3 linked regions of the Saccharomyces cerevisiae S288C genome follow. The gene in region 1 interacts genetically with each later gene. Each region holds a gene or a part of one and is shown in the gene's direction. Other genes may lie near its edges.

The links.
Region 2: mutations in IES4 (region 1) and IES3 together harm fitness more than expected from each alone (negative genetic interaction), as found in Saccharomyces cerevisiae (3 studies listed by BioGRID).
Region 3: mutations in IES4 (region 1) and IES5 together harm fitness more than expected from each alone (negative genetic interaction), as found in Saccharomyces cerevisiae (4 studies listed by BioGRID).

Annotation. Positions count from the first base shown.
Region 1 is NC_001147.6:687,730-690,546, forward strand, and holds IES4 (Ies4p), read left to right. Parts: upstream 1-1,894; coding exon 1,895-2,245; downstream 2,246-2,817. Other genes in the region: MSB1 (Msb1p), read left to right, coding at 1-1,451.
Region 2 is NC_001144.5:245,218-248,592, forward strand, and holds IES3 (Ies3p), read left to right. Parts: upstream 1-1,983; coding exon 1,984-2,736; downstream 2,737-3,375. Other genes in the region: EMA19 (Ema19p), read right to left, coding at 370-855; FCF2 (Fcf2p), read right to left, coding at 1,107-1,760; NRS1 (Nrs1p), read right to left, coding at 2,883-3,209. UniProt on the Saccharomyces cerevisiae protein: Probably involved in transcription regulation via its interaction with the INO80 complex, a chromatin-remodeling complex.
Region 3 is NC_001137.3:340,787-343,737, forward strand, and holds IES5 (Ies5p), read left to right. Parts: upstream 1-2,068; coding exon 2,069-2,446; downstream 2,447-2,951. Other genes in the region: MET6 (5-methyltetrahydropteroyltriglutamate-homocysteine S-methyltransferase), read right to left, coding at 1-1,381; TORC2 complex subunit TSC11, read right to left, coding at 2,534-2,951.

The DNA of each region.
Region 1 (2,817 bases):
ACGATGATGACGACAGTGACAAACTTAAAAATTCCCAGAAAAGAGCTACCGACTCAGCTATTGAAGAATTAAACGGTATGGTTGAAGAAATGATGATTAATGAGCCAGACGATGTAAAAATCTCCATAACTGAGGCAGAGACTTTCGAATCATTGACAAAGTTTGATCAATATAAGCCATCCAATATAACTGACGATGACTTACAAAGCAGCCATTCAAGCGCCGTTCACTCATTGAAGCTAAGTACAAATACAAATGATTCTTGCGCTGATAGTTCCAAATACACCGCTGATAGGAAATTAGCGGAACCTAGAAAGATTTCTGAGGAATCCAAAGTCAACGACGATTCATCATCATATTATTCTCCAAATATCAACAACTTGCCGGCATCAAGAATGCCTAGTCAACCCACTTATTCAAATTCGGATTCGAAAAAGGCATTTACGAATGAGTCTCGCCTGAACGTCTTACAAGGTGCAGTCAGTCCATCTCAACAGGTAACACCAAAACCATATAAAAATGCGCCTGGAGACTGTGTATCTCCTGTTCAGCAAAAATACTATCAGAACGATCGTAGAAATGAAATGTCGCCTGCAAGTGCACCAGTTCCACCTTCTGCATATTCACCTGCGAGGTCTCCACAATTCTCCACCAATTCGGCTGGATTCAAGCAGAACACGATTAATGTACCCGTTGGGTATAATGATCCTGCTCACGTTTTAGCAAATCAACCACATATGACATATCGGGACCAGCATAATTATCCATCTCACCAACAAAAACAACGTCCCTTCCAAAACAATATTGTGCCCCCAGAACTAAAGTCCAGAAATCAACGGGCAGATGCTTCACCTATTCCCCAACATATGGTGCCAGTAAAACAAGGTGTGCCCAATCTTCCATCTAACGTTCCATTATATCAACAAATGGAACGAATGAACCCTAACCACCAGCACCCTGTAAATACTTACAAGGTAACTCAGCCGCCGTATCATAATAACACAACAAATGCTTATGGGAACAGCCGGGCAGGCAATGCTCATATGTTAGATGGAAAGTGGAGCAATAATCCGCCGCAAATGGTACCAAAGGGAGTTCGCCCCAATCAATATCCACAGCAGCACGTTAATAGGTATTCACCGCAAGCTCAACCTGTCGTACCTGCGGAATACTACAATGGACCTCCACCTATGCGAGCACCTCCAATGATGTCCCATATGGTACCAGCTCAGGAGCCGATACGTTACACAGCTGGTGCTAACAGGCGTAGTTTTCCCCAAGGCATGCAGCAGAATGCCTATTCCGTACCCGCTCAGCCTATGGGGGCTGTAAATAGTGAATTTTACCTACCAGAAGCTCCTCAGGGAAACAAACTGCATGGAAATATTAACAAAAGACAGGAGAGAAAGAAGCTATATGATAACATTAGAAGCGGAAATTTCGGCATATAGAAACACTTTGTATCTGAAATTATCATCTTTATGAAATCTCAACAGTTGTAAAATTTCCCGAATATTTATACATATATATGTGTATGTAATTACAAGTATTTAGGACAATAAGGAGAGATTTAAGTCTACTACATAATTTTTAACTCCTACAAATGGCAGGTTACGTTGAGTAAGAATATAACATTTTATTTTCCATATTCAACATCATATGCATTTTATCATCTCATCCTCTTAGTCACTAATTTTTCTAACGCTCATAACAAAAGGTGCGTTACGCCGTCTAGAGCTTTTCTTGAACGTTAAAACTTTACCAAGCAGTTGACGGGTAATCATTCTCATAATCCAAGTAATTTTAAAGATATCAACAAAATGTACTATAATGCCAACACATTCTTTACTTATATTGGCCGGAAGATAAATCCAATTTCTCGAGTAATTGTGGTATGTCCCAAGAAAGTAGTGTTTTATCAGAATCGCAAGAACAACTAGCCAATAACCCTAAAATAGAGGATACAAGCCCTCCCTCTGCCAATTCGAGAGATAATAGCAAACCTGTACTTCCGTGGGATTACAAGAATAAAGCCATAGAGATCAAGAGCTTCAGTGGTTATAAGGTAAATTTCACCGGCTGGATAAGAAGAGACGTAAGAGAAGAACGTCAAAGGGGAAGCGAGTTTACTGCATCTGACGTTAAAGGATCAGATGACAAAGCTACAAGGAAAAAAGAACCAGCAGATGAGGATCCTGAAGTAAAACAACTTGAAAAAGAAGGAGAGGATGGACTGGACTCATAAGGTAATGTCAACAGCTTAAAGTTGTTCTCAGGGCCCCACACTTTCTAGTTTGGCACGTCATTTATGAAATTCACAAATTGGTTACATTAAGTACTAAATCTGGTAGCCGACCAAAAAAGAACAACAAATATACAATTGTATGAGTAAATATGCAATATAAATCAAATGTATTTAGTTAAAGGGCCAGAAGTAAGGCTACAGACTGTAAAAGAAAATTAGATGGAAACCCTCTTCAGGAAAAAAGGACATTATAAAAGATACAGCCAAGAAGTGGGCGTTTATAAAACAATTATATAACATGACCGTCGATTATATTCTGACAGGAATGGCGACGATTGCATCGTTATATTTCATTTCATTCCCAACTCAACGATACTGGTATCAAAAAGCCTCTCTGTTCATTATTTGTCCCACTACAAGCGACTCTCTTATTTTTGGCGGTCTCTGCCAGCTTAAGAAAAAGCGGTTACCAAACGACACTAAAAGAAGCGGCGCGTCTGGTTCATTAGAAATTTGTCAGTAATGCTGTCAATCTTTGTGTAAAAAGTCTTTCCATCAGTTGCCACCCCTTT
Region 2 (3,375 bases), on another chromosome or scaffold:
CCTTGTACGCGTGATTTATTTATATATACGTGCAGCACAATATATATATATATATATATGTATGCGTGCGCTTGGTTATGGCTCAGTAAAGCGAAAGTAACGGAATAAGCGAGGGAAGGGGGATCTAGCGATGAGGGAATGGCAGTAACAGACTGTTCCCTTACAATACACTCTTGCTAAATTACATCAAGGATAATATACTATTTTAAAACAAAAACCAGCCATTTCCCTAAGGACGCGAAACTTTTGTGACGCGTTTCAAATAAAAAAGAATACTGCAAAACGCAGCACAATAATTAGATAAAACTAGTGGCATATGTCACTAATTAACTATATAGTCACTAATACTGTATATATAGCCGACACAGGCTACACAAAACACAAACGCAAAGGAATTAGGAATGTAGGTAGGTACACCGAGGCTAACTGACACTTCTGGGTCATGGACAAGCTTGTTTTTAGCACATCGTAAGGAATGTAACCACGCTTGAAAATAACAACGATACATATCAAGGTAGTTAGAGAGGCATTCCAGCCATAGATACGCAACCACTTTTTCAATCTGCTATTTGTATTAACTTGTAATTCGCTTGAATTCCAGAATTTATTGACGAAATAGACGAAAAGGGGTAGTTGCAGAACTAGCTCAAGGACTACAAACCAGTATAGCCATTCTGGTTTCTCTGATAGCAGGAAATCGTGTTGCTTTGCGATGTGATCACTAACAACCTTTTGCGCAATCCCTAGTTGCCATTTAGCGGGAATAACCACTGATGAGTCGATGAATATGGTGATGGGAATGTGAACGATGAAGTACCACAAGTAGAATTGTTGCTCACGATGTCCTAGCTTCATTATCTCCGGTCGCTTTTCTCTATATGTTTTCACGTGAGTGGCTCGTTTCTCGTACTTATTTGCTGCGGTTGTTCCTTTTATACCTACTAATTCGTATCCTGTACAAAAGCCGATAATTCTTTACTATGTTTTCAAAGGTTTTTTTTTTTTAAACGATATGCAAATTATTAATTCTTTTGAATATTTCTATGTAATCTAAACCACTTTACAATATACTATATGGAATACGTGGCGAAGAAAATTCCATTATCTCACCTCCGCTTCTTTCTCATCTCTTTCATTTTCTTGTAATGTGCCTTCCTACCGCTCGTAGATTTCTCCTGAATTTCGTTGTATTTACGCTTGAAATACTTATTAGAAGCTTCATCACCCATGAGTGTTTCCAAAATAGTCGACTTTCTTTCCTTCCTGTTCATACGACTACTATAAAACTCACTCTTGTCTTCAATTATGGTACCAATAGCAAACCTCTCTGGCACCTCCCAACGTTGCTTCTTATAATGTCTCTTTGGATCAAGAGCAGCTCTATGTTTAATCAGCAATAAATCTCGTTGAACTTCACGACGCATGTTATCATCTGGCTTTGGTAAGGTAAACCAGTCATTATCGTTTTTGTCGCTCTTGTTGGGTTTTCTTTTATCTTCTGTCTCCACACTAGGCAAGACGTTCTTCTTCTTCTTCTTGTTTGCTAAAGCATCAAATCCGGTTTCTAACTTAGGAAGCTTCTTAAGATTAGTTTCGATCTCTTGAAATTTACTTTCAATTTCTACTTCATCATCATTATTGCCTATCTGCAAAACATCCTCTTGTTGAAGAGAAACTTGTTCCTTCGCTGAATTTTTTACTTCTAGACTGGCACTAGCATCTCTTAGTGCTCCAAATAAGTCTTCCACACTTTGATCCATGTTTAACAGCTCCTTTCTCACGTCCTCTTTAATTGGAAAACTTGACGTCTCATCGCATTTTCTATTTCTTTTCTATCTTCTGTTTTAATATGCTGAAAAATTTTTAGGCCGGCACTAACCACGAATTATGATAAAAGAGAAGGATGTTTAGAGAAAAGGTTTTCGTGTGAAAGGGGGAATTGCGTTGTTAACTGACATAGCTGTCTTCAATGGAATCATAACAATGAAGTTCGAAGACCTCTTGGCAACCAATAAACAGGTGCAGTTTGCTCATGCAGCTACTCAACATTACAAAAGTGTCAAAACTCCAGATTTCTTGGAGAAAGACCCACATCACAAAAAATTTCATAACGCAGATGGCTTGAATCAACAAGGTTCTTCGACCCCATCTACAGCTACCGATGCAAATGCCGCCTCAACTGCTTCCACTCACACAAACACCACGACATTCAAAAGACACATTGTTGCCGTGGATGACATATCGAAAATGAACTATGAAATGATAAAGAATTCTCCAGGGAATGTAATAACGAACGCTAACCAAGATGAGATAGATATAAGCACCCTCAAGACAAGGTTGTACAAGGACAATCTTTACGCTATGAATGACAACTTTTTACAAGCTGTCAATGACCAAATTGTAACATTAAATGCAGCGGAGCAGGACCAAGAAACTGAGGACCCTGACTTATCAGATGATGAAAAAATTGATATACTGACCAAAATCCAAGAGAACTTGCTTGAAGAGTACCAAAAACTTTCACAGAAAGAAAGAAAGTGGTTTATATTGAAAGAACTACTGTTGGATGCAAATGTAGAACTCGATTTGTTCAGTAATCGTGGCAGGAAGGCAAGCCATCCAATCGCATTCGGAGCAGTAGCCATACCAACGAACGTCAATGCGAATTCACTAGCATTTAACAGAACCAAGAGAAGAAAAATTAATAAGAACGGCCTTTTGGAAAACATTCTTTAAGCCAAGATTAACATAAGACAAGTTTGCAAAATCCCCAACTTCACTTCCATATGCATATTCATTTAGGTATATATCGTATATTTGAGAAAAATTCATATATGAAACGTTATTAAAACATGAAAAATAGAATGTGTTATCGGGCTTAACTATATTCTGCCATTCAATGCGTGTTTCTTGACCATCTCTCGCACTACCTCTGACGGTACATAGAATGGGTTATGCTTCTTTGTCTTTTTCGTGTGCTCATATTGTCTTTGGTTCTCGAACTCAACCTCCTGGGTTAAATTTATATTAAAGAACAAGAAATCCTCTATGCTATCATTATTATCTTGAGATTCCATCTCAAATAGTTCAGAAAATCCGGTGTTCCCGAGGTCATCGTATTGCAATTTTTGTTTGTCTACCTCATTACTCAAATTGCTATTGGAGGTGCTTTTGATAGCATCACTACATTTATTATGAAGCATATCCATTAACTCCGTCCTGAGTTGTTCCGACGTGTGTCAACAAAAGGATTTACTAAGAATGTTGTATTTTGAGTTTTAAAAGGACGTGCATATGCACATACATATATATATACATATATGCGTATTTATCATCACTCCGTGCTGTTTAGAAGCTGCACATATTATGCATCTA
Region 3 (2,951 bases), on another chromosome or scaffold:
TGAATTTGTTTCTGTTAATTCTGATGTCCTTGGTTTGAGGGAAGGAACCAATAGTTGTTGTTGGGAACAATGGCAAGTTGAAGACTTTTTGTTGTTCAGGCAATCTTTGTTCAAATGGAGCTGCTCTAGTAGACATTTTTTCGTCGATAGAGGCAACTCTGGCCTTAACGGCAGCATCGTGGATAAACTTGGATTTACCTCTGGATTCAACAGATTTAGCGTTAGCTTCTAGGGCAGCAGCAACGTCTTGACCGGAAACGTTCTTGGTGATCACAACAACTTCATCCAATTTTTGAGTGGCGAAAGAGAAAAAGCCCTTGATTTCAGCGTCCAACTTGGTTTCGTTGTTCAAATCAACTGGTGTGTGCAATAGAGAAGAAGAAGTGGCAACAACGACTCTGTCAGCACCCAACTTTTCAATAGCCTTGTTAACGATAGCGGAAGACTTCTTGAAATCATTCTTCCAAATGTTTCTACCATCAACAATACCAACGGACAAGGTTTGTTTGTTACCAATGGCGGCAACGACTTCATCAAATTGTTCTGGAGCTCTAACAAAGTCAACGTGTAAGGCAGCAACTGGCAAGCCCTTGATGGCGTCTAAGTTAGGGACAACGGTACCGAAGTAAGTAGCCAAAGTAATCTTTGGTAGATTGCTTTGTTCACCGAAGTAAGTGTAAGCCTTCTTAATGGCGGCTTGGGCGTTGGCAGGCAAGTCCAAAACTAAGACAGGTTCGTCAATTTGAACTTCAGTGGCACCAGCAGAAGCCAATTTAGATAGGATTTCAGTGTATAGAGGCAACAATTGTTCCAATAGGGACAATGGTTCCAAATCTAGAGAATCCTTGTCAGCCTTACCCAAGAATAAGTAAGAAACTGGACCCAACAAGACAGGTCTAGTATGAATACCTAACTCCTTGGCTTCCAAAAATTCGTCAACTGGCTTTTGGCCGTTCAACTTAAATTGAGTGGTCTTGGAGAAAGTTGGTCTAACGTAATGGTAGTTAGAGTCGAACCATTTAACCATTTCCAAAGCAGTGACGTCGACAGCCTTTTCAGTTTCAGTGGCCTTTCTTTGTAAACCTCTACCCATAGCAAACAAAGTGTCGATTGGAGATAGATCGTACTTAGTGTAACGGTCTGGAATGACATTGAACAACAAAGACAAATCCAAAACTTGGTCGTAAAAGGAGAAGTCATTGGATGGGATGATATCAACACCAGCCTCCTTTTGCAACTTCCAGTTTTGAGTTCTCAAATCCTTACCGACCTTGAATAATTCATCGACAGTGATTTTACCGTTCCAGTAACCTTCAGTGGCCTTCTTTAATTCTCTGTTTGGACCGATTCTTGGGAACCCTAAGACAGCAGATTGAACCATTTTTGATATGTACTTTGAAATTATATTGGTATTTTGTTTCTTAGAGTGTTGTCAATGCTCTTAGATGCTTGCTTTTTTATGATAAAGGAAGAGTTTAACAAAAATATTGAATACGTAAAAGAGAAACTAATGCTAGTAAAGATGGAAATATCTATCACTTATATAGAATTTTTTTTTCTTTCCTTTTTTTCTTTCGCAGTTGGGAAAACTAGCTAGCTTCCCTTAAATTAGTGCATCTATCGCATTTGTTCCATATTCACATTCACAGTTCTCAATTGAGCAGAACGAGCTATGACTACCACAGTTTTGCGACCGGGAGATAGAGCGAAAGAGCTGCCATGACTGCGATGACTCTAGCGAAAAATATTGGCCTTTTGCACGTTCGCGACTAAACGAGTTCGATAGTAGTCCCGTTTCTGGTTTTTTCCCTTTACCGGCCCACATTTTTTCACCTGACTCCGGTCCTGACGTACGACTCTGTTTGTAAGTCACGTGAAATATTTCCTGTGGCTTTTACTAGTAATGTGCACGTGATGTGGCGTGATGGTCCTTTACCCGGAGTGCGGGACCCTGGTTCATGAAAAATTGTGTGAAATCAACTGCATTTTTGGAAGCGAAAAAGATGATGAACCTGAGTTGAATGGCTGTGGGAAACCAATACTTGACTGATTATAAAACAAGAAAAAAATGCCTAGTAAAGATCCAGAGAGCGTTATAGACAAAGAAATACGGAAGATATCAGCAAGAAATGATGAGCTTATCAAACAGGATGGGACTCTAAAAAGGGAATACACTACATTATTGAGAAAAGTATCGAGCGTGATAACGGTACTGAACAGTATTGATGATGCAGATACTGGTTCTGCTGAAACGGAACTCCCACGCTTAATATCTCAAGCAACAGTAGAGAAAGTACCCGAATTGAAGTGGTACAATGATCAGATATCACTGATTACAGAAAAGTTGGAGGACGATGAAGATATTGAGGTTCCCGAGGAGCTAATGGATGCTTATACTCTGTACAAGGAAACCCCATTATTATATAATGATACGCACACACCATAACGGTTTTGTATGCTGTGGTGTAGGGAAGTGCCTGGGTCTATGGAATATTGTGACTATATACATTTATACATGCGGCCCTTTTTTGCTCTAACGTGTAAAATTAGCCGGCCTTTTGTCCCTTTTGTTGTCGTGCCTGATGACATTTTCAAGCGCTCTATTGTTAATAAATAGTCCGCAAAGAAACTTCCTAACATGTGGCTTAAACCGATACTTCGACATCATATTAAATACTTTGAAGAACATTTTCTCGTTTTCAAAAAGCCTTGGACCGTATTTATTGTTTATTTCTGTAATCTCCTTCACTGCGTGATTTGAAAGGATATGATTGCCTAGCTGACTTACTATATGTAGTACCTTGCTCTCGATGGAGTCATCGTCATTGCGGTATTGTGTAACATAGGGAGAAGAAAGGCCTTCGTTTGCGAAAAGACTACTATTTTCACCTGAAACAGTGATAGTTTGACTTGTGATATCGTTGTCGTATTTATTAGTAATGATTTTTTCA